Linked DNA regions of Astyanax mexicanus. The protein of the gene in region 3 interacts with the protein of the main gene of each other region in a pairwise test. Links are inferred from orthologs where the notes say so. Each region holds a gene or a part of one and is shown on either strand. Other genes may lie near its edges. The genes, in order: gcc1, myo5b, amotl2a and rad51d.

Region 1 (8,371 bases), on a different chromosome or scaffold from region 3:
GGCCACCGACATCCCACACAGTGAAGCAAATGTTCTTATATTCAACAGTTTCCACATTGAACCCTAAGCAGTATCAAAAAAAACAACACAACTACATTACTAACAATATGTATTCACATACATTACATGTATAATAATAAGGAGATAAGCCATGTACTATTTGTCAAATGTACTCTGAATGAAGTTCTTTAGTAACGGAACTGTTGTATATAGAATTATGTAAAGTCAAATAACCAATGGGGTTCTTAAAGGGTTTTTCACATTTTTGGAAAACCCGTTAACAGATGGCTCTACTATAACTATGTGTTTCATGTAAATACATTTACAAAACAGTATTTCCAAGATGTTGCAACACAAGAGAGTCATTTCCTGTTCTGTGGAAAATATGAATCAAATATCCATAACCCCTCACGTTCACTCCAGTGGCTATATTATTTCTCACATAAACCCATGTTACATTCTTTTAATGCCACAAATGAGCGACTTAAAATAGTAAATTAGCAGACAAATAAAAAAATAAATACCAATAGTTGGAATAGTGGTTACAATCTCTCCCAGTTTCAGCTTGTATAAGATGGTAGTTTTTCCAGCAGCATCCAGACCAACTGCAATTAAAGCAAACATATTAAGAAATATTAAAAGCAAACAGCATCACTTGTTTAGCAAGCAATATTCAGTTCACATTAAGTACAGAGGTGGCAACAAGAAATTATATGAAACACTATTATTTTCAATAATATGTAAGTTTTTGTAATGTAACATTTTTTTTAAGGATGCCAGAAGTATGTTCTTCAAAGTTTTGAAAGGCCCATGCTAACAAATGCTGGATGAACCAAAACACTACAATGCAATTTGGTACTTCAGTACTTTGAAGTTTAAAGTTGTTTTTGGCGTTTGCTTGAATTGTGAATTATCTAAACCATCATAAAACCAACCAACAATCTTACATCTAACAGAGGGGTTGCTGAACTTATGTGTAGGTTATATAAAACCCTTTTTCTCTGTAGCAAAATAAGCCATTTACATTCTGAAGAATTTGAGGCCTTTAGAGACTCTCCTACAGGAGATGCTGCCAGTTCACCCTCTACTCCACCTAATAATTTGTTTTAAAAATGTTTGAAAATAGACATAAAAACTAGACAACCGTAACAAAATTAAAGTTCTGAAGCACATTAAAATATTTGTATTCACAAAAATACAGATTTTAAAACGAAGCTTAGGAAAGTGCCATTTTTGTGATTTTTATCCACTATAATTTTTATTCACTTTATGTTTTATTATCTACAGTTGCAGATTTAAATAAATATTTAATAAATATTTTCTCAGATTTTCAGTAATGTTTCCTATCAAATATGAACCCTTTTTATGTAATGCTTGAATAGGTAGCCTTAATATTTAGGCATGTAATATCAGGCAGAAAATTGACAAAAAAGCTGGCTTTAAAAGAGGTTAACCTTGTTTTTCCTCATTGTCTAACATGACATCAGAATAAACCTTTCCCATTTTAGGTCAATTAGAATTCCTAAATTATATTTTCCAAATGCCAGAATAATGAGAGCGACATCATTTTGTGCGCATTTTATTAGTCAAAAGTTTACATACGCTAAGATTACTATGACTGAACAATTTGGCACAGCCCATATGATCATATAATGACTTTGGAAGCTTCTGATAGGTTTATTGGCAACATCTGAGTTAATTAGAAAAACACCTGTGGACATATTTTATAATCTGCATGAGTTCCCTTATTAGTATATCCCTAGTTACTACATTACTACACCCCATCCCCCAACTGCAGCAACCCCCATCATTTACTTAGTTAAATGCAGGTGGAGACTATTTTTTGTCCAGGCAGTGTAACTTATGATATACCGGGGCATAAGAAATGGTGGCAAATATTTACAGCATTTGCAGCCTTTCTATTTGTTGATCCAAGTATAGTTTGCATATTTGGATTTCAAATTTTGATGATCAGTGGGCTATGTTCAGTTTATATCAGTGAAGGAGTTTCTGAGTGAGGACAGAGTGCTGTAAGGAGCTTTTAATTACCATGGGCTCTTTAGGTTAAATTAATCCCGAAAATAAGCAAGGAACTAAATGAATAGACGGGAATAAAAGGGTAGATGTGTATAATTATCTCATGAATATTCAGGAGCGTATGAGTAAAGGTATTTACATTTAAACAATTTAATTAAATCAGAAAGAACAGGCTGTGCTCAGGGAGCGAGTAAAGGTAAATCGACCCACCTGAGGATCGAGTATTAAATTACTTTAGGCATCAATAAAACAACAGGAGGAGACACTTAAACTGTCCGCAGGTCAGATCTACAGCTCTACAGCTGACCTGCTGCTCAGGGTCGGTCTGACTGATAGTAAAGGAGAAGAGACTATGTGCTGATCAGGCTGTGAGTAAAGCATTAGCGGTGTGCTCGTATGTGTTAATGGTGTTAATGTGTAAAAAGGGCTGTGATGATCAGAGGGTCTCGCTTTCATTAGCCGAGAGCTCTGACAGACAGACAGACAGACAGACAGCCGTTCGCTCACCCATCAGTATCCTCATCTGCTTCTTCCCGAAGAGCTTAGAGAACAGGGAGGATATGGTGATTCCCATGGTCAGGAGATCAGAGAGATGTAGAGCTGATAACAGAATAAATCAGCCGGTGTTTCCAGCAGTGGAGCCGCTCTCTGTCTCTGCAGCTGACCTCCGTCCACGGCCAGGCCAACGCGGAAGAAATGACGTCAGCGCGTCTTCAGTGAGGCCCAGTCCCAAACGACTGTCTGTTCCCTCTGTAGTGCACTTACTCACTCACTCACTTTACACTCACTTTAAGGCATATTCCGCCGAATCGGTGCCATTTCTGTCCCCAGGAAATTACATGTATAAATGTGCACACAAAATAACTTAATAATAAAACATTAATAACCTACTTAGAACACTGAAGAAATAGCATTTGTTACCTGTCCCCACTCTCTAACTATATGTTTTTTGTATTGTGAGTCCAAATCCTATTTATGTTAATGTATTAGAAGTCTTGTCCAGATCCTCTTATTGGTGTAGCATGGTGTGCTTAACTACCTAACTAAGAAATGTAATTATGTTTCTGTAAAGAGGTGATGTACAGTACAGGCCAAAAGTTTGGACACACCTTCTCATTCAATGCGTTTTCTTTATTTTCACGACTATTTACACTGTCTATTATACTTTACACTATCTACTATTTCTCACTGAAGGCATCAAAACTAAGAATGAACACATGTGGAGTTTTGTACTTAACAAAAAAAGGAGAAATAACTGAAAACATGTTTTATATTCTAGTTTCTGGAAAAATAGCCACCCTTTGATCTGATTACTGCTTTGCACTCTTGGCATTCTCTCAATGAGCTTCAAGAGGTAGTCATCTAAAAAAAATTTCCAACAGTCTTGAAGGAGTTCCCAGAGGTGTTTAGCACTTGTTGGCTCCTTTGCCTTCACTCTGCGGTCCAGCTCACCCCAAACCATCTCGACTGGGTTCAGGTCCGGTGACTGTGGAGGCCAGGTCATCTGTCGCAGCACTCCATCACTCTCCTTCTTGGTCAAGTAGCCCTTACACAGCCTGAAGGTGTGTTTGTGGTCGTTGTCCTGTTGAAAAATAAACGATCGTCCAACTAAATGCAAATTATATGGGATGGCATGTTGCTGCAGGATGCCGTGGTAGCCATGCTGGTTCAGTGTGTCTTCAATTTTTAATAAATCCCCAACAGTGTCACCAGCAAAACACCCCCACACCACCATAGCCCCTCCTCCATGCTTCACAGTGGGAACCAGGCATGTGGAATCCATCCATTCACCTTTTCTGCGTCTCACAAAGACACAGCGGTTGGAACCAAAGATCTCAAATTTGGACTCGTCAGACCAAAGCACAGATTTCCACTGGACTAATGTCCATTCCTTGTGCCCAAACAAATCTCTTCTGCTTGTTGCCTCTTCTTAGCAGTGGTTTCCTAGCAGCTATTTGACCATGAAGGCCTGCTTTGCGCAGTCTCCCTTTTATCAGTTGTTCTAGAGATGGGTCTTCTGCTAGAACTCTGTGTGGCATTTAACTGGTCTCTGATCTGAGCTGCTGTTAACAGTGTTCTCAAATCTCATGCTTTGAGCGTGTGACACACCCACCTCAGCAAGTTAACACTCTTACACACCACACATGGTATTCCCCCCCAGTTGAACAACTGAGGAGGAACTGTGTGCACCCCCACCACCAAACAACCCCCACCCCCTCCAAATCTCACGCCCACCAAACTTCAAGTAAACGCGAACCCTTAAATGATCTCGAAATTAAGAGGATCCAGTGATAATTAGGAATGTGATAGAATGTGATAGAGGCCAGTTTTTAAAAAGCCTATTCAAATTCGCCATTCACATGAACCGCTTAGACACGGAACCCCAAATATGGACATAAACAACATGGCACCGCCTACAAAAATAATGACAGTGGTCTATGGAACCTATCAGAGCTGCGCTACATCATGATTTCAACATGCGCAGTGAAGGGGGAAAAGGGGGAACTGAATTTACCATAACACCAGCTGCTTCGCCATTAGGTAGGCTAGGCGGCATATAAGTATATATATTATAACTTATTTTTCCGACTACATTCCTTCACTGTCCAATCTATGGAGGGTTATTTGCGACAATATTATATAAATAAATGAATTAATATATATATATATATATATATATATATATATATATATATATATATATATATATATATATATATATATATATATTAATTATTTATGCTTCGTTTTCATATTTAAATAAATACATAAATAATTAAATGAAATAATTCTCATTTAAAATATTTATTTACCGTTTTAATTAATTATTTTATATATATATATATATATATATATATATATATATATATATATTTTTTTTTTTTTTTTTTTACGTATAGGGTCACAGGCCACCAGGCGTTTTCAGGACGTCACTTCCTGTGAGTGGGAGAGAAGCAGGAAGAGACGGAATGTTATTTTGACACGTAGCTGAGAGACTTTCGCGCTTTATGCAAAATCTCAGGTATTTAATCAGTTTAAGTAAAGTACAAAAAAATCACATGTTTAAAGAGCGGCTGCTTTAGTGGGGTCGCCGGGTTTCTGCTGGGTTTGTTTGTTAGCCGTTTGGATTAGCTCGCGGGCTAATTGTTATGATAAGGAGGTCCGCTTGCAGTAACTGACCTAACGTTAGGTTAACCTAACTAACCTAACCTATCTAAGTTACCTCAGGATTAAGATTTAATAAAACAGTATTGACTTCAGTAGTAGAAACCACAGTTATAAGATGTTGTAGTTTATGCTTTCCTGTAATTCGCAGATTAGTGTGTGATAGTGATGCAGCCTCTGGAGTAATTTTAAAGCAGTTCCACAGTGTTTGGTTTTTGGGTGCCATGTGCTGTAGTGTTTACTGTTTTACCTAGTTCAGTTCGTCATTGCTGGATTTAATCAGTAAATCAGTAGCTGACATTGAAATATTGTATAAGTATGGGCTGCACTATGGTCAGAACTTAAGTAAAAATAAATGAGACTGGACAGATATAAACAGGCACATAACCAGAGCTGTTTAAACCCTGATTGCAATATGCAAAGTAATGGCTGTATTGAGTAATGATATATGTATTTGGAATAATAGTGGCTGATGGGATAACACAGTGAATCTAAGTATACATACTTAAACACATTCATAGTTCTGCATAGTTCTGCCTAATACAATTGAAGTATAATTGTCTAAGCTGCACAATTAAACACTAAAGACAAATTGAAATGTGCCTAAATTATTATTGTAATATGATCTCTATGCTTATCAGTTACATACTATAACAATTATTGTTGTCCCAGGATAAAATTAATATATTTATTAAAAAATTGTATAATAAAACAAATTTGTGCTTTTATAATAAGGCTTAAGTATATTTTATAAGTATTGTCACTTGTAATACTAAATGTCACCGCTGTCACAACTTCTCCAAATTGCCTACTTTACTAGAAAAAGGAAAATAATTATTTTGTTAAAGTATATATACAAATATATCACAGTACTGAATCGGCACAATCAAATAAAGTTTACAGATAAAGTAGTTAAACAGAAAAATATATACTTTATTTATTCCGGATACATACCAGGTACACTATTATTAGATAAAAGTGGATGATGGGCATCATACATTTAATGGTAATTTTTTTGTTTGAGCTCTGTTCCAAAATAGTGATAACTAGCCTGGGTTATGTATATTATTTGATAAGTACATAGAAGGTAAATGTAAAATGTATGCTGCAAAGTCACATTTGTGACCTGTCATAAAACTTATTTTGGATTTGGATATTTTTATGTCCGGCGAAAAAAAAATCTAAATTAAATGGGTTAAGAGAAGAGAACAATTATATGTTATATGTTCATATAACATATCCAAAATATGATGAAATGTGAAGGTTTTATAATCACTAACTTGGAGCATTCATTATAGTAGTAACTAAACATTTAACCAACAAGCCAATATTGCATTTACTGACACATTCTCCCTCTGTTTTAAACTTCTGCAGGTTTACATATTTTGCAGCTCTTACTATGAAAGCACTTTAAGTGTGTCCTCACAATGGAAAAGTTTGGAATGAGCTTTGGTGGAGGCCCAAGCAAGAAAGACCTGCTTGACACAATTGAGGCCCAGAAGAAGCAACTTATCCAATATCAGACCCGTTTAAAAGATGTTGTCAGAGCGTATAAAAGTTTGCTGAAAGAGAAGGAAGCTTTGGAAGCTAGTCTGAACGTCCTCACTGTGTCCCAGGAGGTGGATTTAACCCTACACAGCCATGACCCACCTTCCAGTGGATGCACTGGCAAAGCAGAATGCCCACCACCTACTGACCTTGTAGATGACCACTGTTCCATTCACAGTGAGGACAGTGTGGACACAGCAGCTTCTGTTGACACGGCTACCAGTGTGACCAGCAGCAGCACTAAGGGTGACCCTTTAGAGGAAGATCAGAGTGGCCTTGGAGAAGGATCAGTGATCCAGCAGTCAGAAGACACTCAGAGTGGCTCGGAGAGTGGCGTCAGTTCCGGCAGCAGTGCAGGTGTAGATCAGCCCGTTGCTTCAGCAGTTGCTGAAGTAGATCGCCGGGTGATTCAACTCAAGTCTCAGCTGTCTACTTTGACCAACTCTTTGGCCACGGTCACTCAGGAAAAGTCTCGAATGGAGGCTTCCTTCCAAGCAGACAAGCGGAAGATGAAGCAAGACCTTGAGGAGATGCAGGGGAAGATGGAGGAGGCACACAAGCAGTACCAGAATGAGCTTCAGGCTTTGCAGGAGCAGCTTGCAGAGAGCAAGGCTCGCGTAATCACACAGCAGCACGAGCGGGAGCAGGAGCAAGGTGATCATGCCCACATGCTCCGTGAGCTTCAGAAATTACTGCAAGAGGAAAGAAGTCTAAGACAAGATGCTGAACTTAAACTGGAGGATGCTAGAGAAACCTTGGTGGAAACCATGCAAGCTGCAGACAGGGGACTAGATTATGAGGAACAGGTGAAGAAGATGGCTGAGGAGTGTGAAATGCTGAGGAAGAGTCTGCAGGCTTCAGAGGCTGAGAGAAATAAGCCTGATCCAAGGGTACAGGAGCTGCAGCAAGAGATTGCTGACCTGAAGGCACAATTTAACCAGCAGATTCAGCACGAGATTAGGAAGGTAAGTGTTGGCCAACTGCAAATGTCTCTAAAATGCCAGCGACCAGACAATACTTTTTTTAATAAAAAAGCTCTGCTAATGTAGCTAACAATGAATCAATGACACAGTTGACAGAGCCTGGTGATGCATTAGCAGTTTTATTTGGCAATATAACACAGAAACACTTACTGTCAGGTTCAGAAGGTAGATTGCCTTTTTTTGTACTAGAGTTTATGCTTCTCTCTCTCTCTCTCTCTCTCTCTCTCTCTTTCTCCCTCCCTCCCTCTCCCCCATCAGAATTATAATAGAGATATTATAATACAGTAAAAAAGTCTGCCAGACCTTAACCACACTGTACACCATTATTACTGTCCCTTTCCCAAAAATACAGTTCAGGACCAGCATTTAAAAATGTAATACTGATTTTATCCATGATTTAGTCACAGAATATTGTTGTGGTTTAATGCAATATTAGAAAGAAAAAAACAATAATGGCACCAATAATACAATGTGTTTATGTGAAAGACAAGTGGGATTAATCAGGATTTTTCAGATTAATCAGTTATTTATTTATTTTTTACATTAGCAAGATAAGCACAGCATCACTACTTTCGAGTTCTGATGGTAAATTATCTTTATATTCTGAAACATGGATTAAATGTGATTCTTCTTTTTTT
Region 2 (7,463 bases), on a different chromosome or scaffold from region 3:
ATGTAAGATGATTTTCACAATGCTAACCTAGCCAAAATTCAGCGTTTACAGAGCAGCAATGGAACAATTTTAACTCGCTGAGTTTTTATAACCAAACAGATTGTATTTTCTTGTCCTCTTTAACTCTAAATCTTTTAATAAACTGCAATAATGGAACTGTGGTATAATCGGAATAATACACTCGAGGTTTGTGATATAACATGTAATATTGGCACTGCTGTGCTGATTTATAGTACCTGGTCTGCAGCCTTGTGCCTACAATTGCAGCACAGCAGTGCCAATATTACACAGTATAGCACAAATCTCGAGTGTATTATTGCTTAAGTTTTGGATTGGCACTCCTCTACTTAGTGGAAATAAAAATAATAAAACTCTATATTTTCTGGGCCTGAGGTTTAAAATTAGAGGATGAACATAGAAACAAACAAATATACGACTTGTGTGAAAACTCAAACTGAAACATGCTGATAATTATATCTTCCTTTTTTGTTGTTGCTTCGTTTCTTTCTTTCTTTTTTTCTTTCCAGTGGAGCGTAATGCACAGAAACAGGTTGAACTTGCGAAGGAGAGGGATGACCTGAATAGAGTCGTCCAGGAGAACAAGCTGCTGGATGAACAGGAGAAAACTCGGTGGGTTTTCTTCTAGAATTATTCTATCATGTCTCTCTTCCTCACTCTACATCTCTCTCAGTCTACTCAGCCTCAAATCATTAATACAGTGTCCCGCTGTTCTGCAGTCTCAGGGAATCCTGTCTGGAATATCAGGCTGATCTGTTGGCTCAGATTCTTCACCAGCAGCAGCTGTGGGAACAGGAGCAGACTGAGCAAGAGCAGGAGATCCGTAAGGGCCTGGTCTATCAGGAGAAATACAACCAGAAGATTCAGGACATCCTGTCCAGGCCTGTCTCCAACACCACAGCCGTTCACCCCTTCAGGCGACGGGCTCGACCCACCTCCAGCTAAACCTGCCTCAAGCCTATTGCCTAACGTTGCATGTTTAGCTTACCCAGTACTCTGATGTTCCTATGAAAGACAAAAACTGAAATAAAATTAATTTCACAAACTGCATATTCAGTGTGCAGACATTTCTTCAACCAGAAAGGCTGAGATTAAACAAATTCTCACAACAGGATACTATCCAGTCAGATACTATTCATAATACATGGAAATTCCAGCAATTATACTGTTTTTTGGCAGCAGGGTTGCCAGAAATTAGCCATTACAAAACTTTTTTTGGCACTCTGCCTCTGCTGCTGCTGGAAAAAAAAAATATTTCCATAAATCAGAAAAGAACTGTTAAATTAAAGTATCAATTAATGGTCAAAAGTATTCCAAATACATGATTTACCTGTTAAACATAATAATAAACATATATAATAAACAATAATAAACATATATACTTCCACTATGTGTACAAAAAAACATATATTTATATGTACAAAAACTACTTTAGTACTCAACATGACGGCTTTAACAGCAAAGAAGCAAAAAATACTAATTCCCACAAAAGTCTGATACTATCCATACTATATGGAAATTCCAGCAAGTTATTGTTTAATTTCTTCGTAATTTATACTGTCAAAAATCTGTAGAAGGATTTTTTTTTTGGCAGCAGGGTTGCCAGAAATAAGCCATTAAAAAAGCGTAATCTTCGTAAATTATAAAATAGTAAATTATTTTTTTTTTGGCGCTCCTGCTGCTGGAGAAAATCAAAAAACCTATTCATAAAAACAGAAGAACTGTTAGATTAAAGTATCAATTAATGGTCAGAAATATATATATATATATATATATATATGTTTATTTCAACAGGTAAATCAGGCATTTGAAACACTTCTGACTGTTAATTGATACCTTAGTCTAACAGTTCTTCTCTGTTTATTATGGGTATTTTTCTCCAGCCACAGGGTTGCCAGAAATAAGCCATATAAAAAACAAAATTGCAAAAGTGCTGGTAAATTGCATTTTTTACATGTTTTTTCTCTGGCACTCTGCTGCTGCTGGAAAAATAATTAGATTAAAGTATTAATTAATGGTCAAAAGTATTCCAAATACACGATTTACCTGTTAAAATAAACATATATACTTTCTCTATGTGGACAAAAAACATATATTTATTTGTACAATAACTACTTTAGTACTCAGCATAAACTAAAGAATACTTAGAGTCTGTATAAAGCTCTCTCCTCAAGCACGACAGCTTTAACAGCAAAGCGCTTTCATAAAAAGAACATGTTATAAAGATAAGTCACACTGACACGCCCTCAGATAGATTGTAGTATTATTTAAAACTACCAAAAACATTTAGCCAGCTTCCCCAAAATCCTCTCTTTTAGACAATTAAGGAACACAGCATAATAAGACTGCTATTAAACATTATGTAATAGCTTTCTACTTTTTGTCTTTACATCTTAACTATTAAAATATGCCATATTTGTGAAAAATCTAATGGTCAAAATATTTGCTTGTGAAAGATCTGCTACAAAAATTTGCATGCTTTTCATGTGTGACGTACAGCTAATTTTAGGCGAGGATTAAGCTGTGTGTACTTTTGTATTATGTTGCAGTCTGTTTATGTACCTAAATTTGCAAAACTGGCCAGACCTGACTGCCTGGAGTTCTATGGGGTCAAATTGAATACTCCTCAAACAGCTATTTAAACAAGTCGAATCATATCCCTGGTGAAAAAATATTTATATATATATATATATATATATATATATATTGTACTTAAAACATATTGACAAATGTCTAAGTTTGCTGTAAATATACTAACAGATTTATGTACTTAAAATATATTAAAAGTACATTAATATTAATACTTTTTAAAAAGTACAATATAGTGTATTTAAAAAAATAGACTAATATGAAGTTCACTTTAAGTTTAATATAATTCAATATACTTCTAAAATACGTATTTACAAATATACTTTTGTACATTTTTAGCAAAGTGTGTTAAAAAAAACAACTGTTACAGCAGTTCACTTAAAGTAAAATTTATCATGTAACCTTTTAGAAAATAAATTTAATGTAATTTTGTAACACACAAAAAATTATAGTACAGTATATTAAAATATATTTTTATACCAAACGAAGTATACTATTTTTTTATACTTTTTATACTAAAAAGACAGCAACAAGAAGTATATATATTTGTAATGTAAATGGATCACATATATTTAACTTCAATTCTTATTACATTTCTAATATACCTGGTGTATAATAATAGTGATACAGTTGTAATACTCATTATTAAATGTATATATAATATAATATATAATTTTACTGTAAGCATATTTAAAATATGGGGTTACATACATGAATTAGTTTAGATGATTAAATGTTACTTAAATATATTTAAAATTGTTTCATTTTATTACAGTTAAGCACACTTAGCACAATTTAAGCAAGAGTTTTGTACTATTTTTTATACAATTAACGTATAATAAGTGCAAAAAAAAGCTCTCTTTAAATATATTGATTAATAATACTTTTTTTCTCACTAGGGATGTCCTACATAAAGAAAAGGTAATTCTTGCTGAATCAGTGAATCAGTAGGCCTACAGTATGGCACTGTAGCTTACCATAAGTTGTTTGTAAAGACATTTAAGTCAAGATATCTGTTGCTGTGAGACAGATACGCCCCCACAATACAAACTCATCCTCATGAAGTCATACTGAGACAGTGTGTTCGTCTTGAATGTGTCTGTAATGTGTTCTAATTACCCATGTACAGTAAATACCCTGAATAATGAGCCACTGGATTGCAGATTGCAGAGGTTGGTATAATGAATGGGCAGAGAGCTTCTATCCAATAGCCTTCTTGCTTAAATGATTACGACAGGTGTAACACAGCCTTTGTTTGTGCAGGTTTGTCTATTCCATGACAGGTAAAGCACGTTAAAGAGCTAGCTCAACACCTCATACCTGCTGAAGGAGTGGTTTGGGAGTGGAGCGATTTGCCTGATGACATTTCTGTCTTCTCCCATGTTTTGTTGCTCAGGCTGTTACTCAAGTCCTGGTGTGAGTCTGCAGTAGTTACTTCACTCCCTGTCTGAGGTTCACAACCCTCAGCTTTGTGCTTCATGTTAGACGTCTAGAAATGAGTGGAGAAGAAGGAAATATGGTCAGCAGCTTCTCAGGCCTGTGATTCAGATCACTTGTTTTGTGGATACTGATACAGTTTGTGGGTACAGTTTTCGGTTCAAAGAAGAAAGCATGACGACTGTTTCTGATCTTTATGTGAAGGTAGGTCAGTTTATTCTACTTTGCTTGAGTGCTTAAAATGTGATGCATAATAAGCAAACTCAAAATAACTCTATTAGAGTTTTTGGATTTTAACACTTTAAAAGTGTCTATTTTAGGGTTTTTTATCGTATCGATACGTGGCATCAAATACCAATATTTTTTATTGAAACATAGTCGCTCTTAACTCCCTAACACTCGCTCCCAATTCAACTTACTTAAGTTTCTGCTTCATCACTCCACGTGGTGGCGCTATAATTAATAAATAGGGTTAATAAACCTGCGGTGCAAAATATTATTTGTTAAATTCTGTGAAACTGACACCAATAAAACAATAAATACTGGTATTCATAGAGAATTATCATGTGATATCATCGTTATCATGGGCAACATATTGTGATAATATCATATCGTAAGATTCCCTGTGATTCACAGACCTTATTTATATGGTTTATATTTTAACACTTTTAAAAAAGTCTCATAGAGTTAATTCTGACTCTACGTAAGGAGTTAACACTAAAACTAACAGTGATAAATGATCTTAACACTGGTGTGTAGTGTTACAAATGAACTCTTCTGAAGAGTTAGCTTTTAGGACTAAAAAACTATTTTGGATCATTTGGCTATTAATGATGACAGCTAGCTAAATTAACTTTAGTGTTAATAATAACTGCATCAAACAAGGAACTAAAAAGACAATATATCTGTCCTGCAGTGTTAGTTTAATTCACATTACAAGGAAGTTTAGTCACTTGTTAGCTAACTAGCTGATCTTACTTGTACAAAAGCAAACTCCACCAAGTGTTGGGTTAGCTCTGGAAATATTTTGCTATGTAATTTGAGACCTTTAATCCCTTAAACCCTAGGTTTATAGATTAAGTATAGATTATTTGGCAACTGTTGGGCTAAGCATATCATGTGGAGTCCCACATGGTTCTATTTTGGGGCCAATAAAGTTACTTTAATTGTGAGAGTAGAGTAGTTTTCAGAAGGTGAGGAGGAGTGGAGTGTGGGGTTAAATACTGGGTCTTAGGCAGACCTGAGTATGGTACGGCCCACAAGCCACATCTGATTCCTATAGCTTTCAATAACGGCCCTTCACATATCCACCTTAGAAACTGCACTGAACTTCACTGCGCTTGTTAAAACCCAAAAAAGACTAGATTTCTCTTACTGAACAAGCAAAAAATACTGAAAAACAGTAAATGAGCTAATTACACCATAAACCAAACAGCAATAGTGCTTTGTATGAAGTGAATTTAATGCTGTTCTTAATTGGAAACATAATTGTTTATGAGGATGTGGATTAAATTATGATATGTCTCTACCAGTTTTAGCTTATCAAAACCATATAATTACTCCATTTTAAAGGGGTAATTAACTTTAAGCTGAACTGAGATCAGTCGGTCTGGATCTCCAAAACAGATCCAGTTTATTATGTGGCTCCTTGGGAAAATTAATTGCCCACGCCTTTGTCTAAGGGCTTACGAGGTACTAACACATCTCCTCACAGACCAAAAACATGGTTCATTATGGATCTAAAAGAGTTTTCCCTGAACCAGTGCTGCATTTTTAAGAATAATTAAGAATCTTACTGTTCTAATCTCATTTTATCCCATACTTTTAGTAACTTTAGGTCTGAGGCGTGGTGCTGTAGTAACCATACGTGAATTTGTACTTGTGTCTCAAGTGTGACAGAAGGTCACAGCAGAGACTATAAAGAAGGATTAAGGGATTAAGAGCTGGAAAATAGCCTACACTCAAATTTTATTCATGAACTAAATGTGCATGTCATTATGGTGCCCATGACAAGGAGAGAAAAGAGATTTTGACAAGCTTGTGCTACACCCAGTAACTCACACATGCCCTCTGCTCTCTCAGCACTTAACAGCAGATAACAGAGCAAGTGTGCTTTAATGCCTGAACCCTGCAGAGATATACTGAGATACAGCACCAGTCAAAAGTTTGGAAAAAAGCTCTATAGGAACACAAAAAGTGTTAAACAAACCAGAACATGTTTTATACTTTAGATTCTTCTAGATAGCACATTTATCTTTGAGGACAGAGGACAGATCTCAGTGTCTTCATGAGGGAGACTCTCCTGAAGTAGTTTTCTCCTCTTGAAGGAAGGAGTTTCTGGAGGTGCTGAACAATAGTTGCTGTTTTTCCTTCACACTGTGAAGCTCCAGCTCATACCAATTAAATCACCTCAAATCACCATCTCAGTTCATCAGGTTTAGATTAGGGGATTCATGTGGAGGACTAACACTTTTTTACTGTTTACTATGTAACTCCATATGTGTCCCTTGATTGTTTTAATGTCTTTAATATTAATCTATCTTATCTAGAATTAAATAAAGACAGGTGTGTTCAAAATTTTGACTGGTACTGTTCGTTGTTGAATAAAACAAATATGTACAGACATATAATGCAAAATATGTGCAAAATTTATATACCAGACACATGAACAAAGTGTTTCATTTATGGTACATGCAGAATAAACATTTTTGTAGGGTTTTTTGTTGCAGACTTTTGCACCCATTAGCAAGTCCTGTTTTTATCTACTATGGCCAGTGAATGTAACTTGGTATCAAAATTACAGACTATGTACATATCGAAGCGCAAAGAAAAGGCAGAAGCAAACAGGACTTTAGCAACAAAATCCACTTTTTGTCATGAAAAACTACACACTTAAAATTATATCAGGAATCAGGAATGATGCGTTTCTTTGATTTTTTCAAATTGAAAAACTCTGGAATATAATCAAGAGAAAGATGGATGATCACAAGCCATCAAACTAAGCTGAACTGCTTGAATTTTTGCACCAGGAGTGTAAAGTATAAAGTTATCCAAAATCAGTGTGCAAGACTGGTGGAGGAGAATATGCCAAGATGCATGAAAACTTTGATTAAAAAAATATTAAAAACCAGGGTTATTCCACCAAATATTGATTTCTGAACTCTGAACTAAAACTTTATGAATATGAACTTGTTTTCTTTGCATCTTTTTTTTTGTCATTTTAGCCATTTCTCATTTTCTGCAAATTAATGCTCTGAATGACAACATTTTTATTTAAAATTTTGGGAGAAATGTTATCCACAGTTTATAGAATAAAACAACAATGTTAATTTTACTCAGACAAATACCTACAAATGGCAAACTGATTCAGAAACTAAAGTGGACTAAAGTTTTTTTTTTTTTTTTACCTTTGTTTTGGA
Region 3 (7,848 bases):
ATAAACATATATATATATATATATATATATATATATATATATATATATATATATATATATTCACACACATGTCCATACTTAGTATAAAGCTCAAAACATGTCATGTCAAGGCAAAACCAATCGATTTCTCTTACCTTCTGTAGTCTCACTGCTTTCTCACTGTAGCTCTCCACCTCCCTTCTCAGCTTCTCATTTTCCTTTATGAGTTGTTCCATTTGAGGATTAGGAGCCTGGATGCTGTATCCTGCGACGATGACCTCCTGGCCAGCAGGGGGCAGTGTGGGCAGGGTATTGTTTCTGATCACCTGTGACTGGGCTGGTACATATCTGGAAGAAACAAACCAAAAATCAGGGTTGGTATGCTTATTTAATTTACTTTTGCAAAAAACGTGTATTATATGTGATATGAAAAGATAGACCTGTCAAAATAATTATGTTAGCAATTTATCTTACAGAATACGAAAATGTCATTTTTGCTGACAGTGATACTGGCAGTTGTGTTAACTTTGTTATGAATGTTTATGAATGTCAATATAACGTCAATAATATTGTCTATTCCAATGATCAAATATTGATTATTTACCTGTGGTGCTGCGAGTGGAACGCCGGAGGGGGTTCTTTGTAATAGTGCCCGTTCTCCTGCGAATGGCTCAGCATATATCCAGGGGATTTAACGGTAAAGGGGTACTCCGGAGGTGGCCCGCGCTGATCATGCCCGTGATCAAGGACAGCAGCACCAGCGTGGCTATGCCCGAATAGCTGGGGGTAACTATGCGATGAGCTCATTGGCATGTTATCATGAGCACCGTTCCTTTCCAGGGAAAGCTGCATGAGGCGCTCACTTAGTGACCTGGCATGCTCCCGTTTGAGGTCCCATGTGCCCTGGTCCTGCTCGAGCCCCGAATCTGCGCCGGGGGTGTCCAGCCCACCCTGCTGCAGGCCGGCCTGACCCCTCTGAGAGGCCAGGTACTGTGAGTGGGCCTTGGCCTCCTCGTAGGTGGGCAGCTCTTCCGTGTGGAGCTGGTACAAGTGGCACACGGGGCTTTCCGAGTGCTGGTAGTCCCCCTGGTGCTCCTGACCCTGGGGTTCCTGTCTCGTGGACATCTGGAGGAACTGGGACTCCTCCTGAGTTAGGCTCTCCAGGGACGAGCGAGGGCTGCCAGCGCCCCCGCCGCTGCCACTGCCACGCAGGGCCTGCTGTTGGATGGCCAGGAGAGTGCGGGTATCCGTGGGGTTGCCATACCGAAGCTGTTCCTGGATCAGCCGGTGCAGCACCGTGCCCGAGGACTCCTCCGCGGTTCTCATCTCAGTCAAGGTTCAAGTGTAGTGCCAAAAGAATATAACACTTGACGTGATGATTGAGCGATTATGTGGCTTGACCGGTCAACCTGGGTTTAAAAGTTAAAACAATTACAAACATTAGTAATGAAAATAGCATGATAATAAAATTATAAAAAGTATATATATATGTAAATAAATAATATTAAAAACTAAAAATAGCCTGTGGTTCAGTGGATTATACTCTTAAACATTGTGTGTAGACCCACACTTAAGTTCAGTTTAGTACAACAAACTAAAATTGGCCTATGTTTCAGCAGGTAAAGGCAGTAGTTCTTAAACTGTGGTCTGTGTCCCACTGTTGGTATACCAGATGACCTCAGAAAATGTGTGGAATGCACTAAATAAAAGTAATATCTGTTGTTTTAATGTGTAACTTACATAACAGTTGTTTTTGTTTAATGCTTAGCTGTAGTTTAATCATAGAGCATCATTCAAAAAGAGAAATTTAGGTTGTGAAATGGGTTTCCCTCCAGTCCACATGCCCCCTCTAGAGCAACAACACCACCTCAGCCAATAAAAATCCCACATAAACCCCCTCAACCAACTACATTATGGCTTTTCACAAATATCCTCACACATTCACTATCAATTTTTGCTTGTCATTAATTTCATAAAGGTTTTTTGCACTAGATTACAGCTTGTGAAACACAGTTTCACACACAGACCCAACATAACCAACAAAACCTCCAGGTATGTGTAACTTGAGGCAGTTTGACCTTATGGCATTTACTAGAGTCTGAGTGAGACTTCTGAACCTGCATTTGCGTCAGTCTTTTCCTGCTCCAAATTCCTCTCCTGTAGCCTCACCTTCACGCAACTGAGCAAACTCACATTATTGAGCAAGCAAATAAGGCCTCATTTACAGCAAATAGTGCCAGAGTATTCCACACAACCCCAGATCCACATTTAACAGTCCAAAAAGCTGGACAACATAGGAAACATTGGAAACATGGGAACGCTTTAATAGTTCTTGGTACAGATGTTGTACTAACTAGATAATAGGTTAGTATTTTGTTGTATCACAATAAATATAGTTTTATGAACATACAATAAATATTGGCAGTGCTAAAAAACACTGATCCACTGCAAATCATAGCTAAACTGTCCAAAGAAAATCATGTATTCCATATATTGTCTTTATAAAAGAAGGAAAAGGTCTTCTTTACTTTATGCAATAAAATGGATAAAAACGTTTTTTCTTTTTTCAAACATACTTGATATATCATTACAGAAAGTGTAGCTAATTATTAGTGTTTAATTGGATTTTAGTTTAGTATATTTGTAATAAAATAACTATATTAGCTAAAAGTATTGGAAGCATCTGAATATTAGTTTTCACAAATCTGATTTTTTGTGCATGTCAAAATATTGCAATAAAAGTATTGTGATACAATATTATATACCATATCGTCCACCTCTAGCTAAATAACTAACACAGCAAGCTACATTCTTTAAACAGAAGTAATAAAACACAGAAATAACAGATAACTAGTTTAGTGAGAGAACAGAAATAGGAATCCAGTAAAGGAAAATAGATAAGATACACAAATGTATGTTAAAAAGAAAGCGAAAATGAGCTTAAACTGAAAACAAATACACATAAACCCGCAGTTTGTGGCTGTTTTACCCCAGAACTCACCGAGTTACTCCGGCATCCCTGCAGAAATATGAAGTTTATGAGGGTAAATGCTGAGTTTTAGATCCTTTAGAAGTCTGTACAGCTCGGCGGCTGTGTTTATATCCGTGTTAAAGCTGCTCGCGGGCTGTGCTCGCGCTGCGCTCCGGCGGCGGACTGAGGCCGGGGGGAGGAGCCGCGCTTATTAAGCGCTCGCGCTGATTGTTCTCCGGCTCCGGAATGTCAGGAATGTGAAGGCTGCGGGTCCCACAGGGATTCACACAAGCCCCGCCCACCGGACCAGGATTGGCTGCTTGCGTTCCCGCTCCTCTGCTGGGATTGGTGCAGAGCTCAGTGCTTATATGTTGAGATATATTTTATTTAATCATGTTTATTAATGATTATATTTAGATTTACTCGAGTTTTTAACCACTTTTTCATATATGAACAGTTTTTTACCAACTTAACAAAGCAACTAAAACATTTATTTATACATATTTAACTTCTATTTAGGAATTTCTAAAATATATATTTAGATTAATTCTAGAACAATTATGTAGATCTAGCTTAGATTTACAAAAAGATAGTTAGTTTATTTATACTTAGCTTTAATCCATCTATTTTCAATATATTTGTATAGTTTATATTTCGTTTCATAATTTTATTGCTATTATTATCATTTTCTCTTATTTTATTGATGTTTTATTGTAAGTTTACATTTATTTACATATATGTTTTCTTTGTGTTTTTATTGGTGATCGTATGAAATGTGCTAAATCAATAAAGTATTGTATAAAAATATTATGCAGCCAAACATACACATACATTTTTATTGTGGCTGAACTTCATCTAATTAAACAGCACTAATTACACTGGCTGTAGTGAAATGGTAAGTTTGTCAGGGTTCTTGAAGCAGAAATTATTAAAAGTATATTTTGTATAATTTCTGAAGCATTTCTGCTACTGATGGATTCATTAGAAGGGGTGTCCACAAACATTTGGACAGTATAGTGTATCTGTAGCGTGAATGGCAGGAATGTTCCATTAGGTGTGAATGGGTGCAGGTTAGTTTGGCATGTAGGCCTATATGTGTGTGTATGTATATGAATAGAGTAAACATGAATAGAAGGAATGTTGACTCCTGTTTTCTCATAGATTTTTAAACATTACTGTAGAGATTTAATTGCTTTCAGTGACAAGTGTTACTGAGAGCAGAATGTTGGATGAGGACAAAGGCAGCCATATGTGTTCAACATAATTTGTCCTTTATTTCACTGCTCTATACCCCCCAAATATTTTACACACATCTACACAAGGTATGGGTAAGTAATAGTTATTTATTGTTTACAGCATTTGAACACACCAGCTGCCGTTCACATTGTGTCCAGGTTTTTACATTGACTTCCACTGGAAGTTAGAAGTGGTTCAGAGAAAAGTATCCAATTGTTTTATTCCAAATAACTTTGAGTCATTTCTATTAGTCTATTCACCATATCATTTGAGTTTAAATGGGTTTAAATAATAGAAAAAAAAATCAACAAAAATGGAGATACATGCTTTTCACACAAATCATATCTCGCAAACAGCTACTTTTTTGTTGTACAAAATTACAGGAGTAAGAAAAAAGGTCAATGTAAAAATATGTTATTTCAAGCCATTTTGAAGTGTTTCTATTGGTCCAATTATCATAAAATTCCAATATAAAAATGATAATGTTTAAGTTCACATTCTGAATTCTGAATGCTTTGCCACAGTGCAATTTTCCTATTCATTTCATTATTAAAAAAAGAAAACACTGTTTTTCACCAATTTAATCTATTTATTCTATTATGTTGTTTGCAGCACATATCTAAAAAAAACTAAAGAATACTGAAACCTCCTCTGTAAGATTAAAGCGGTATATTTGAACAGGAGTGTGTATGGTGAGTGTGGAATGTGTTGAATGAGAAAGCTGGTAAAGTATTGATTTGAGCTCTTTTGTTTGCCTTCAGCTGGTGAATATTTAAGCCCTGGCCCGTGCCAGTTAATTGCTGAGTGTGTGTCTGTGTGGACAGTGAGGGAGGGGTGTGTGTGTGTGTGTGAGAGAGGCATGCTGCCTGCCAGCTGTCTCTGGAGTGCACTGGTCTACCCCTCCTTAATAAGCTTTCAGATAGACGCATTGTTCTTCCCACAGCAGAATTACAGGGGAGAGTCTACCATCTGCTCCTACATACACCATACACCACCATACACACCCCCCACACCATACACACACCATACACCATCCCCCTACAGACCCCTCTCACTATATATCAACGTTTTTTACACAACCCAAAAAAAAAAAAAAAAAAAAAAAAAAATATATATATATATATATATATATATATATATATATATATATATATATATATATGTGTGTGTGTGTGTGTGTGTGTATGTGTGCATAATGTTTTTGTATGACGTATGTTTTTGTAAGAATGTATGATGATTTTATTCCAAATAATTCAAAGTATTTTTTTTATTGTTTACATGTTGAAGCACACAGAAAATACTGATGATACATATAGTGACCATCCAGCTTGTTATCAGCACACAGCATGCCATTTAAAACAGAAAACATTTGGTACATTATAAAAGAAAAAATCTGGCAAAAAAAGATCTAGCATTATTGAGCAGCTACAGGTAACATTCTTAGAATATTTAATCTGTTAAGTTTTCTGGATGTTCTTAGAATATTTTAATTTTACACTTTTAGATATTCTGGTAGCGTTGCTGCAACATAGTTTGTGTCAATGTTTAAATGTTTCGTTTTTATTAACATTTTCATAATGCTAGTATTCATCTAGCTGGGAATGTTGGGTGAAACATTCAAATAGCATTGTGATGCAAACCATTATTATGTCACACTTTTCAGGACATTCCTGTGAGTTTATTACTGTAACATTACAAGCTAACTGTCCTAGAACCTTTTCAAAACCTTAATAAACATTCTTATAACATTCTCTATTATCTGGGTTGGAACTAAGTGTTTATGATGAGTTTAATAGACATCAATGTCAACATAATTAATAACTTTCTATTAAAATTTTGGTGGTGCAAGAGTCACACTAGAGTCTGTTCACCTGGGATTATTTTAAAAGCTCCTGTAAGTGTGTAGTGTGCAGTTGTCCCAGTACCTTTGTCCAAAAAGTGTGTTTCAGAAAATCAGAATAGATCAAATATAGGCCATATCTTTTTTGTAGGACACTTAGCTTATAAGATGTCCTGTGCAGCTGCTTACCTTTGCCTAGGGCAATAACAGTGCCTGTATATAAAGTACGTAAACACTACATACGTACTGTAAACACACTCACCTGCACGCACACACCCCTATACAATCTACAGAATGCAGGTGCTTTGTGAAAAGGAGAATAGGACTGATCTCAGTTTTTGCAGCACGTAAAATCAGTCCATTTAACCCAATACTGAGTCCAGATGGTTAGTGAGAGGCAGCTGTGTGTAAAGCAGCATGTCCTCGCTTGTTGATGCTAGTGAGCAGTTGGTGTGCCGGATGTGTGGATCCACTGCAATCATATCACCACATGGATCTGCTTTTACCAACATCCTTCAGTTAACAAACTAAACCCACCCAAGAACCGGATCATCAGCAAACATTTCACTCAGAAAACGCCCGGAGATAACAAAAATCACTTAGTTAACAGAGATAGCATTCTCTAAGCTGTTTAAGCTAAGCTAAGAGATTTTAATCCAAAATCGGGTAATACGTAGTGTTTATTTATCATTAACATTTCCCTGTAGTAATGTATTGCCAATAGACTAGAAGAAAATAACAAACCAGTGTTAAATACATTTTAGATAATTTATATTCTACTAACATTAAATGATAGAAGGGATATATATATTTTTTTTCAGGAAGAACTATTAGTACTATTACTATTACTAGTACTATTTTTCAGGAAGTACTATTAGTATTATTAGTAGCTGTACTATTAGTAGCTGTACTCACTAACTCAGCTGTACTCACTAACAGAGAACGCTATGAGAACGCTTGGCAATGTTTTTAAAAAGGGTCTAGGAAGGTTAGCCTGTAATGTTATTATAAAATAATATTACAAAATGTTCAAAAATGTTCTAAACCCGTGTGATATAGTAGTAGTATGTATAATAAAGGTTTGCTTTACAACATTATTAGAATGTTTTTTACATAACGCTCAAAGCTAAATAGAGCTAAACAAAGCCATTTCTATTGCGCCATTCATCATAAAATTTATATACAATATACTGTATCAGATAAATGAAACAGATTCCTTTTTATGTTTAAGGGTAATGCTGAGTATATCATCCATTTTCTCTATCCCACTCATTTATTTTAATTTGAAGGTGATGTTGACTTCAATACAAACTCTCTGCTTGTGATTTTGATTCAACAGTGAGGCTCACTAAATTATGTTGCTTTAAATAATACTTTGGTTAGTTGGGGATCGGGGTGGGTTAGTGATCATCCACAAACCTGACCTCACTAGCAAAAACAAATCCTCACAGCAATGCTCCAAAATCCAGTGAAAAGCTTTCCTGAACAAAAGAGACCAAAGGATCAAAATGTGGTCCAACAAAATAGATTAATTGATTCATGGTCTGGTTTGTTTGCAGTGTAAAAACTCTTTTGTAAATGGTTCAGGCTTTTGGAACAATTACAGAAAATTGAGTCAGACTATCGTCACCCATAAAACAATAGAAGAAGTAAAAGAAGAATTGTTGTGCTAAAATATGTTTCCCTTGGGGATGTGCAGGAGCGTTACGCAACAGTATGAGTACAACTGATTACGGTGCTGGTGATTCTGTATCTATTGTAGCTGTAGATCAATCTACAGTTACAGAATCTGATCATTCTGCTGCATGACTCAAAAGGCGCA
Region 4 (8,228 bases), on a different chromosome or scaffold from region 3:
CAGTTTATGTGCTTTGCCTCTGGATTGAATCCTACTACAATTATAGCCACATGCATATACACTTGGTAGTCTGCATTTACAGTAAATAGGACTGAAATCTGGCTGCTGTGTGGGATGGAATATGCAAATCCACTCTGTGAGACAATTATTACTGTGTTTTTGGTTGTACTGGGAGAAGCTTTGGTTGTCAAATGCATCTTGGAGAGATGAATGTGTTTACATTGCTATAACATGTGGCTCAAATGCATCTCATCTCTTCTTAAGTGGTTTGTGTCTTTGGTGTGTTTACGCTTGCATTTTTATGTGGCTCTGGCTTATCCAGACACCAGAAATAATCCTACTATTTAAGACACATGAAGTGACCAGGTGTAGATGTGGGACGTACAATTTGCCTCTGCAAAAAAACTTGCGGTATGATTGATATAATCTCACATTGCACGCTCGGTGATCTTGTGCCACGAGATCTCACAAGATTACAATAGCACAATATTTCTCACCGGGTGTTAAAAATGTGTATTACCAGACTTATGCACAGGTAACCAAAACAAATGTTTCATTATTTTGGGCAGCAAACAGTAGCTGCTGTACACACGCATGCTCATGTTGTTCCGTGATCCACGTGGTGCACCACACACATTACCAACTTTGTGTGATGCGATGAGGATTGGCAGGTCTGTATAGAACCCTCAAGGAGAATTGCCAGTTAAATAAATAACCCCCTAGGGATACTTTTGGGAAAAAGTATTGCTTGTGTATCAGTAACGAATTCAAAGTATCAAACCGTTACCGGTATCAAAAACATTTTTTAGTAGTTAAAGCTCCACTAGGTAGGCCTTAGATTTTGTGCCCGTGGGCTCCCCCTACAGTTGTAGAGTGTAATAAATGTTTCAGGCGGATTAGTTTCTCTTTGTCGTTTTCTGGCTTTCACAGACATATTCGGTCTCTTTCCAGCTTCTGCCAGAGTGTCTGAATGTCAGTTTGTAAAGAATGAATCAGTAGTCCTTGTCGAACTGTTAGAACTAAAGGTCGGAAAGCAGGTCGCAGTTCTCGCGAGCGTTGGTCGCGGCCGCCTCGGAAAACTTACAGAGTCTGGTTTGAGCACAGAGGAGCTCCGGCACAGACACGAGAGCACCGCTATTCCTCCTGTTACACCTCAATGGAGCGCTGCAGTGAGTTTGAAGCTGTAATTTCACTTCTTTAAAAAGATCAAAAATCAAGGAAATCCTACCTAGTGCTGCTTTGAATACTTAAATATTCACCTGTATGTTTTGCGTTTGTATGTGAGTTTTAGTCAAATAAAATATTTTCTATCATATATTTCAATTTTACAAAATTAAAGTATAGTTATAATCTTGTCTTGTTCTTGTGAACTCAATATTGTGTCTTGTCACAACCCTATGGTCTTGCTGAAACAATATATTGTGCAGCCCAAGTTCTTTAACCATATTAGTTCTTCAGGACTATTATTCACTTTACAATACATGCAGCAACATTTAATTTTAATACCCAGTGTACTGTTCAAAGGCCACTATTTTTATAGAACACCCTGGAGGATCACACCACAACAGATCCATCAACGCCTACAGCCAAAAGACTTCAACTCAAGCAAGTCCATCTATAACCAGGAATGCATCTACTTTCCCTCAGTTTGCATAGGCAAAACACTGCTATGTCACGTTTGCCTAGGCAGCTACCTGCACATCTTGGTTAGATACCTCAGCCGTTCCAGACAGGCCTTTGGCACAACCTTGCATTGGAAATGTGCCTTATGTGCTTCGTTTAGTCACTGCTTTTGTAGTTGCTGAAGCATGTGGACTTTACCGTGTATGCGCGCTTTAATAATGTATAGGTATTAGTTAAGGAAGTTAGCTTAAGAAATTCCAATCGTGCCACATCTAGACATCGAAGCTAACAACAGCAACAAGAATGAGTCAATGTCACACTTCAGACAGTCAGACAGGCTGTGAAACAAATGAACGTGACGATGATGTTGATAATCTGTGCATAATGTTGATTTATGTTATTCTATTTGTAGAATAGTAAGAGTTATCCTGGTTCCAGCTGACAGCTAAATGCTAGCTTTCTGCGTATGGGCGTCCAGAAGCGATCAAACAGATGAGACAAATTGCTAGCTTAGCTAACTAGCAACACAATAAGGTTAACAACTAACCGTTATATTGTTGGTAAAAGCTAAACCTACAGCTGCTGGACTATACTGTCGTGTTTATGAACTAACTAGCTAACTGAATACGAGCAGCAGAAATCCAGGAAACAGTGGCTAGCTAATAAAGCACTGTGTTGTCAGCTGACATGCTAGCTACGCAGCTGTGGAGTTTGGCTCCATGATAGCTTCTAGCTAGTACAGGTCCAGAAAGTAAAATTCCAGCCCGCACTTTTGTTTTGGGCTGAGCTGCAGCGAGCCGCACAGACAAAATCCTGGGCTGGTCTTTTACTTTCTGGACCTGGACTATACCCACTGCTACTAGTTCAGCTAGCTAGCTAGTTCGCTAATGATAATAAACGTAACTTACATCAGTAACAGCAACTTCAGACCTTTATTTTAGCTTTTATTTCCTGTTAGCGAACAGCGAACTAACTACATCTCCTATTTTTATTCAAAACCAACTGCAAACCACTTAAGTTAGCTACGTTAGCCAGAACCGTTTATGCTACGCTAGCTACATTAGCCTAGCAACCCAAGTTACTTGCAGCAAGACTAGCGTTAGCTGGCGTCGTCTCTGTTAACGCTAGTAGCCTGTTAGCATAAATACTAGCAAAATTCCACAATAAAAACGTACAAAGACCCTTAGCTGGCCTATATAACCTAATGTATGTACAGAACCACTGGTGCGTGTTCCGATACATAGCGAACAGACCCCCTAAACTCACCATTTTGGCGCTGTGTCAGTAGAGCGGGTACAGGCGGGCGGTGGGCAGAGCTAGCAGGCTCCAGACGCTTCCACAGACGGACTGCTGGAGCTAGTGAGGACCGGGGCCGGGGGACAGACAGGGCGAGTGACGGTGCAGGAGCAGCGGGCACTCCTTCCCATTATTTGCCGCTCCCCTGTCACCCCTGTAAAGCAACAATAGGGGCTGCCTTTAGAAAAAAAAAAATAGGCAGGCAGTTAGCTTACTTCAACAAGGAACTCACTCAGTGGCTCAGGAAACTAGCGCTTTCTAACTACGACGCACTAGCTACAACGCTAGTCACTAGGGTTGCCAGGTCTGAAAAAAAAAAACCCCGCTCAGACAGGTTGCCAGGTCCAACAAAAATATCCAGCCCAAAGTTAATATAAAAACAGCCATTCAGAAGTTTAAACTAGCCCAAAATAACTTATATGTCTGTGACACATTTTAAGCAAATTTCAAAACAACTGAGTGCGCGACGTATGGTTTATAAGGGAGTTATTATCAGTATTGCTATTCATCCATGTGTCACAATATTGTAACATTACCCAGCTGGCATTTCAACGTTGAATAAACGTTGAATCAACGTTGATCAACGTAGATATTATGGTTGAATCAACGTTGAATCAATGATATAGCGTCATACGTCATACGTTCAACCTTTAATAAACCATAGCTCACTAAAATGAGAAAATCCTATGGTTAACAGTGTCGACAGTAAGCGTACATCACTGTAGTAAAGCTGAGTATAAAGAAAGTTACCCAACACTACCAATCTGATTCAACATCTGATCTCAAAAACACTACAACTGTAAAACTATTAGAACATAAACATGGTGTTGAATTAAAAAGCAGTTACTGCAAATAGTAAAACACTATTTCATTTCTCCATCCAACCGTTTTTAGAAATTATATGGTGATAAAATGTAAAATGCTGATTTAAAAGGCAGAAGGTTGAGGTCATTATGTTGATTCATGATTAAAATTTCAACATTAGCACAATCATTTAACATTATGTTGATTCAACATTAAAATTTCAACGTTAGCACAACCATTGAACATTACATGATGATTCAACATTAAAATTTCAACGTTAGCACAACCATTGAACATTAAATGTTGATTCAACGTTGTTTCAACGTTAAAACAACAACAGACATTACTTTAGTCATATTTCAAACACATTTCAACGTTGAAGGTCGGTTGTGTGCCAGCTGGGTAGTGTTTTATTAGTTCTTTTATAACCGTTTTATATCCCAGTCAAGAGCATTTAATAGTAACATAATTAACAAAACAAACAAACAAAATAACTCACTTTTTCTTACTTAATATTTAAAAGGGTTTGAGAGAGTCTAATTCACTTTGTGAATATGAAATCGCCCTGTTATCTGAAACAATTATATGAGATACTTTGTTTTCGCTTCCAATTTACCACAAAAACAATAACGTTACATCAGATATAACCTATCAATCCATATGTTGCTCTCATGTTTGTTTAAACCATTCTTTTGTAAACACAGTGATAAAATAAATAAACAATCGTTTCTTTCCCTGTTCCACAAAATCACAGGTATATTCTGTGTCTGATTTAAATATTTATAAAACATTTTAACTGGATAAATGACGCGTATTATATTAAATGACACCTCTTCCACCTTATTGCACTGAAGTTTTGGTTTTAGTATTTGGAAGACCTGTTTTTACGTAATTCCAGAGGTTCGCTTCACCACGGGGGCGGGCCGTGACCTCTACGTGGATTTTCATTGGCTGAAACGACGTCGCTAAAGAACAGGACACATTTTTATTGGGTGAAATTTCTGCCAATCTTGCTGGCTCTGTTTAGCTATGAACCTAAGGCGCGTACAGGCAGGGAGTCGCGGCTGTAAATATGTAACTTTAACCTAGTGGGTTTAAGTACATTTATTTTATAAGGTTTTAATATCACGTAGCTGCGGTCGAGGAGCAGTGTGGAGTACGGTTTCAGGCAGACGTATTTGGGGAATGTAGTTAACTTGAAGCGAGGATGTAGCTAACCACTCCTGCTTTAGTTGCTAGCTAGCTAGCAGGGCAGTTTAGCTAACTAACGTTAACTAAAAAAAGTCATTTCAGCCAGCCGTTTGCTTGTTAGCTTGGTTAGCTAGTTATATCAGTAATTAGTTGTAAATGTAGCCAGTTATCTGTTAGTTTCAGCTGAAGGTAATATTTCAAAACAAGCTGGTGATGGTTCTTTTAAGGGAAGGTTTATGTCCAGGACTGAGTGAGGACATGGTGAAAGCTCTACAGGGAGAATGTATTAGAACAGGTAACGTTAACCATAGCACACAAATAACAGCCTGACATATCCTGTGGTTAATTCTGCATTTTCTACACATGCCTACACATCTAAAACACGTCCTATCTATCTTTCAGTGGAAGACCTTGTCTCCTCTGACGCAGAAGAACTGGCTCAGAAATGCTCGGTGTCTTATAAGGTCTGTAGGTTAAGCCATTACCAGTGGTGAACGAAGTACCCAAACCATGTATGTTAACTAGCTAACCTAGCAACCTGAGTTAAAGTAGAGATACTTGTGGTTAAAACAGTAAAAGCTCCCCCCCCCCCCTTTAACCACCACCACAGTAAAACTACTAAACTATTCGCCCTTACGTGAAGATTTAAAGCTGTGTTACACAGAAAGTTAGGACAAATTTAATAGATATCTTAAAGAATATGCAACCTCTTGGAATCATAGGAAAACATCAAAACAATTGTCTGCATGTAAAATAAAATATAACAGTTAATAATAATAATAATAATAATAATAAATAATAATTAATCATTGAACAAATTATGAATAGAATTCCATTTACTATGCTGGATCTGTATATTCAGTACATTCCATTATTTAAGCAAGTGTGGACAACACTGTTGCAGTGTTTTGAACTGTATTCTTGCTCCAGGCTGTTGGAGTAGCTGTGTCCAAAAGGTCAAAACAAGTTCAGAAGTAACTTAAGTGCACACTTTACCCTTTTATGCGCACACAAACCAGTTGTGCAGTTCTAGATACACTCAAATCAGCCCATCTGGCACCAACAATCATACACACCATTTTTTTTTCCTATTTGAATAGTTGATTTGAACCTTACGCAATGCTGGTGGACTGCATTTGTGTCATTTTATTGTATAATATATACAATACAATACTCATATAAAAAATGCATCTTTTTACATTCTTTTATTTATTTAAAAATATAAATTACAGAGCATGTATGCATCACGCACTGCTGTCCAAATCCAGTTCAAAAATCAAGATCCAAATTAAGTGACTAGTGAAAACAAGCTAGATAAAATCCTTAACAATCAGCCATACTTTGACCATCTTGATTTGAGTGCCTTGATGTTACAACAGCCAAATGTCCTCTGTTATTCCAGGCTTTGGTGGCTCTTAAACGGGTACTTCTGGCTCAGCACACTGCGTTCCCCATCTCAGGAGCAGACCTGTACGAGGAATTACTGAGCTCCACTTCTATTCTCTCTACAGGAATTCCCAGGTGATGTGATAAAATATACAGAGGACAATGTGTAGCTAAGCTGCATGGTACAAATAAAATATATCTAGAGATTTTGTTTGTAATTTTGTATTCTGTGCATATTTACTGACTCAACGCTAGATGTTCATTTTGTAGGTAAACAGGGGATAAATGTATGGGTAGGAAAAAAACAGATACAGGGGTTGGACAATGAAACTGTAACACCTGGTTTTAGACCACAATAATTTATTGTCCCGACAGACAGTTCTGGCGGAACAGGAGAGTTAAGGTGCACATTGAATTCTGCCGTGATTTTATGTTTTTTGGATACAATCCAAATTAGCACCCAAACATCCCTTTCAGACAACTTCCTCCTGTATCCACAGTTAATCCTGTTGGATGTGGTTCATCCTTCTTGGTGGTATGCTGACATTACCACCAACTACCTCACTGTGTAATAGAGTAATTACTACCTCACCTGGTCCTTTTTGCACACTGTCTTGTTATTTATTATTCTTTGTCTGTATGGTGTTTTATTGTCTGTCTGCACTTTTGTACTGTTGCACTATTGTTCTGTCTACACTGTGTTTATGTGCACCATGGTCCTTGGAGGAACGTTGTTTCGTTTCACTGTGTACTCTGTATATAGCTGAAATGACAATAAAAACCACTTTGACTTTGACTTTGACTTTACCCTGGACACCGTGGCTCTTGATACATCACAAAGACTTGCTGTCTTGGTCACAGATGCGCCAGCAAGACGTGCGCCAACAATTTGTCCTCTTTTGAACTCTGGTATGTCACCCATAATATTGTGTGCATTGCAATATTTTGAGCAAAACTGTGCTCTTACCCTGCTAATTGAACCTTCACACTCTGCTCTTACTGGTGCAATGTGTAATTAATGAGGATTGGCCACCAGGCTGCTCCAGTTTAGCCATGAAACCTCCCACACTAAAATGACAGGTGTTTCAGTTTCATTGTCCAACCCCTGTATATCTATATGTTAACATATTCCCCTCACATCCTGATTTGTAAAGATAAGCTTAATAAGTAAGTTGAGATGACCTTCAACTTAGATGACGAATGAAAAACAATGTGCCTAAATAGCATTTACATGAATTGTTTGAGATGCTTGTAATTTGTATGTCCATGTACAACTGTGCTCTAGCATCAGGGCATTCTCCATGTTTTCCTGTCTGCAGTGTGGACAAGCTGCTTGATTCTGGCCTGTACTCAGGAGAAATCACAGAGCTGGCTGGAGGTCCAGGAACAGGGAAAACACAGGTGAGCTTTTTTCACTGACATCACCTATAAACAAACGTATAAAATTCCATCCATTCACATTTTCACCTATAATAATAATAATAATAATAATAATTTAGTAGATTTTGCTGGTAGTCTCTTGTAAGTGCTTTACATCTTTTAAATGACAAACATTTCCAGATTAGTATAGTTGCATCTTTTTTTCTTCACCCGTTAGATGTGTTTTAGTGTGGCTGTCAACACAGCACATGAGCTCAAGCAGAATGTGCTGTACATTGATACAAGTGGAGGAGTGTGTGCAGGCCGGTTGCTTCAGATGCTTCAAGCCAAAACCTCAAGTACTGCAGAACAGGTAAACCCCAGCATAATCTAATAATTCAATATGTGCAATTATATTTGTTAAATATTTGCAAAACTTAAATAACAATTATGTCAATGTCATGTTAGAAATAGTTGGTGTACTAAACCTGTAGAGCGTTTTCTCCCTCTGTTTGGTTTGGTTTGGTTTCACACAGGCATAAACCTAAACACACCAATAAACCACCCAA

What was found.
Region 1: the proteins of amotl2a (region 3) and gcc1 interact in a two-hybrid assay, tested with the Homo sapiens proteins (2 studies listed by BioGRID and IntAct). The two-hybrid records come from large-scale screens. The link is inferred for Astyanax mexicanus from reciprocal best matches to the Homo sapiens genes AMOTL2 and GCC1.
Region 2: the proteins of amotl2a (region 3) and myo5b interact in binary tests that used the Homo sapiens proteins (3 or more experiments, as listed by UniProt). The two-hybrid records come from large-scale screens. The link is inferred for Astyanax mexicanus from reciprocal best matches to the Homo sapiens genes AMOTL2 and MYO5B.
Region 4: the proteins of amotl2a (region 3) and rad51d interact in binary tests that used the Homo sapiens proteins (3 or more experiments, as listed by UniProt). The two-hybrid records come from large-scale screens. The link is inferred for Astyanax mexicanus from reciprocal best matches to the Homo sapiens genes AMOTL2 and RAD51D.

The regions. Positions count from the first base shown.
Region 1 is NC_064409.1:35,743,211-35,751,581, forward strand, and holds the start of gcc1 (GRIP and coiled-coil domain-containing protein 1), read left to right. Parts: upstream 1-4,954; 5' UTR 4,955-5,059; intron 5,060-6,576; 5' UTR 6,577-6,629; coding exon 6,630-7,715; intron 7,716-8,371. Other genes in the region: ADP-ribosylation factor 4, read right to left, coding at 1-63, 525-605, 2,545-2,611. UniProt on the Homo sapiens protein: Probably involved in maintaining Golgi structure.
Region 2 is NC_064424.1:6,582,884-6,590,346, reverse strand, and holds the start of myo5b (unconventional myosin-Vb), read left to right. Parts: upstream 1-4,013; 5' UTR 4,014-4,218; coding exon 4,219-4,248; intron 4,249-7,463. Other genes in the region: cfap53 (cilia- and flagella-associated protein 53), read left to right, coding at 528-630, 738-963. UniProt on the Homo sapiens protein: May be involved in vesicular trafficking via its association with the CART complex. The CART complex is necessary for efficient transferrin receptor recycling but not for EGFR degradation.
Region 3 is NC_064412.1:48,138,171-48,146,018, forward strand, and holds the start of amotl2a (angiomotin-like 2a), read right to left. Parts: upstream 3,155-7,848; 5' UTR 2,981-3,154; intron 1,389-2,980; 5' UTR 1,306-1,388; coding exon 584-1,305; intron 328-583; coding exon 135-327; intron 1-134. UniProt on the Homo sapiens protein: Regulates the translocation of phosphorylated SRC to peripheral cell-matrix adhesion sites. Required for proper architecture of actin filaments.
Region 4 is NC_064408.1:29,033,878-29,042,105, reverse strand, and holds the start of rad51d (DNA repair protein RAD51 homolog 4), read left to right. Parts: upstream 1-4,718; 5' UTR 4,719-5,127; coding exon 5,128-5,209; intron 5,210-5,316; coding exon 5,317-5,378; intron 5,379-6,316; coding exon 6,317-6,435; intron 6,436-7,619; coding exon 7,620-7,701; intron 7,702-7,897; coding exon 7,898-8,032; intron 8,033-8,228. Other genes in the region: tmem248 (transmembrane protein 248), read right to left, coding at 2,890-2,892. UniProt on the Homo sapiens protein: Involved in the homologous recombination repair (HRR) pathway of double-stranded DNA breaks arising during DNA replication or induced by DNA-damaging agents. Bind to single-stranded DNA (ssDNA) and has DNA-dependent ATPase activity.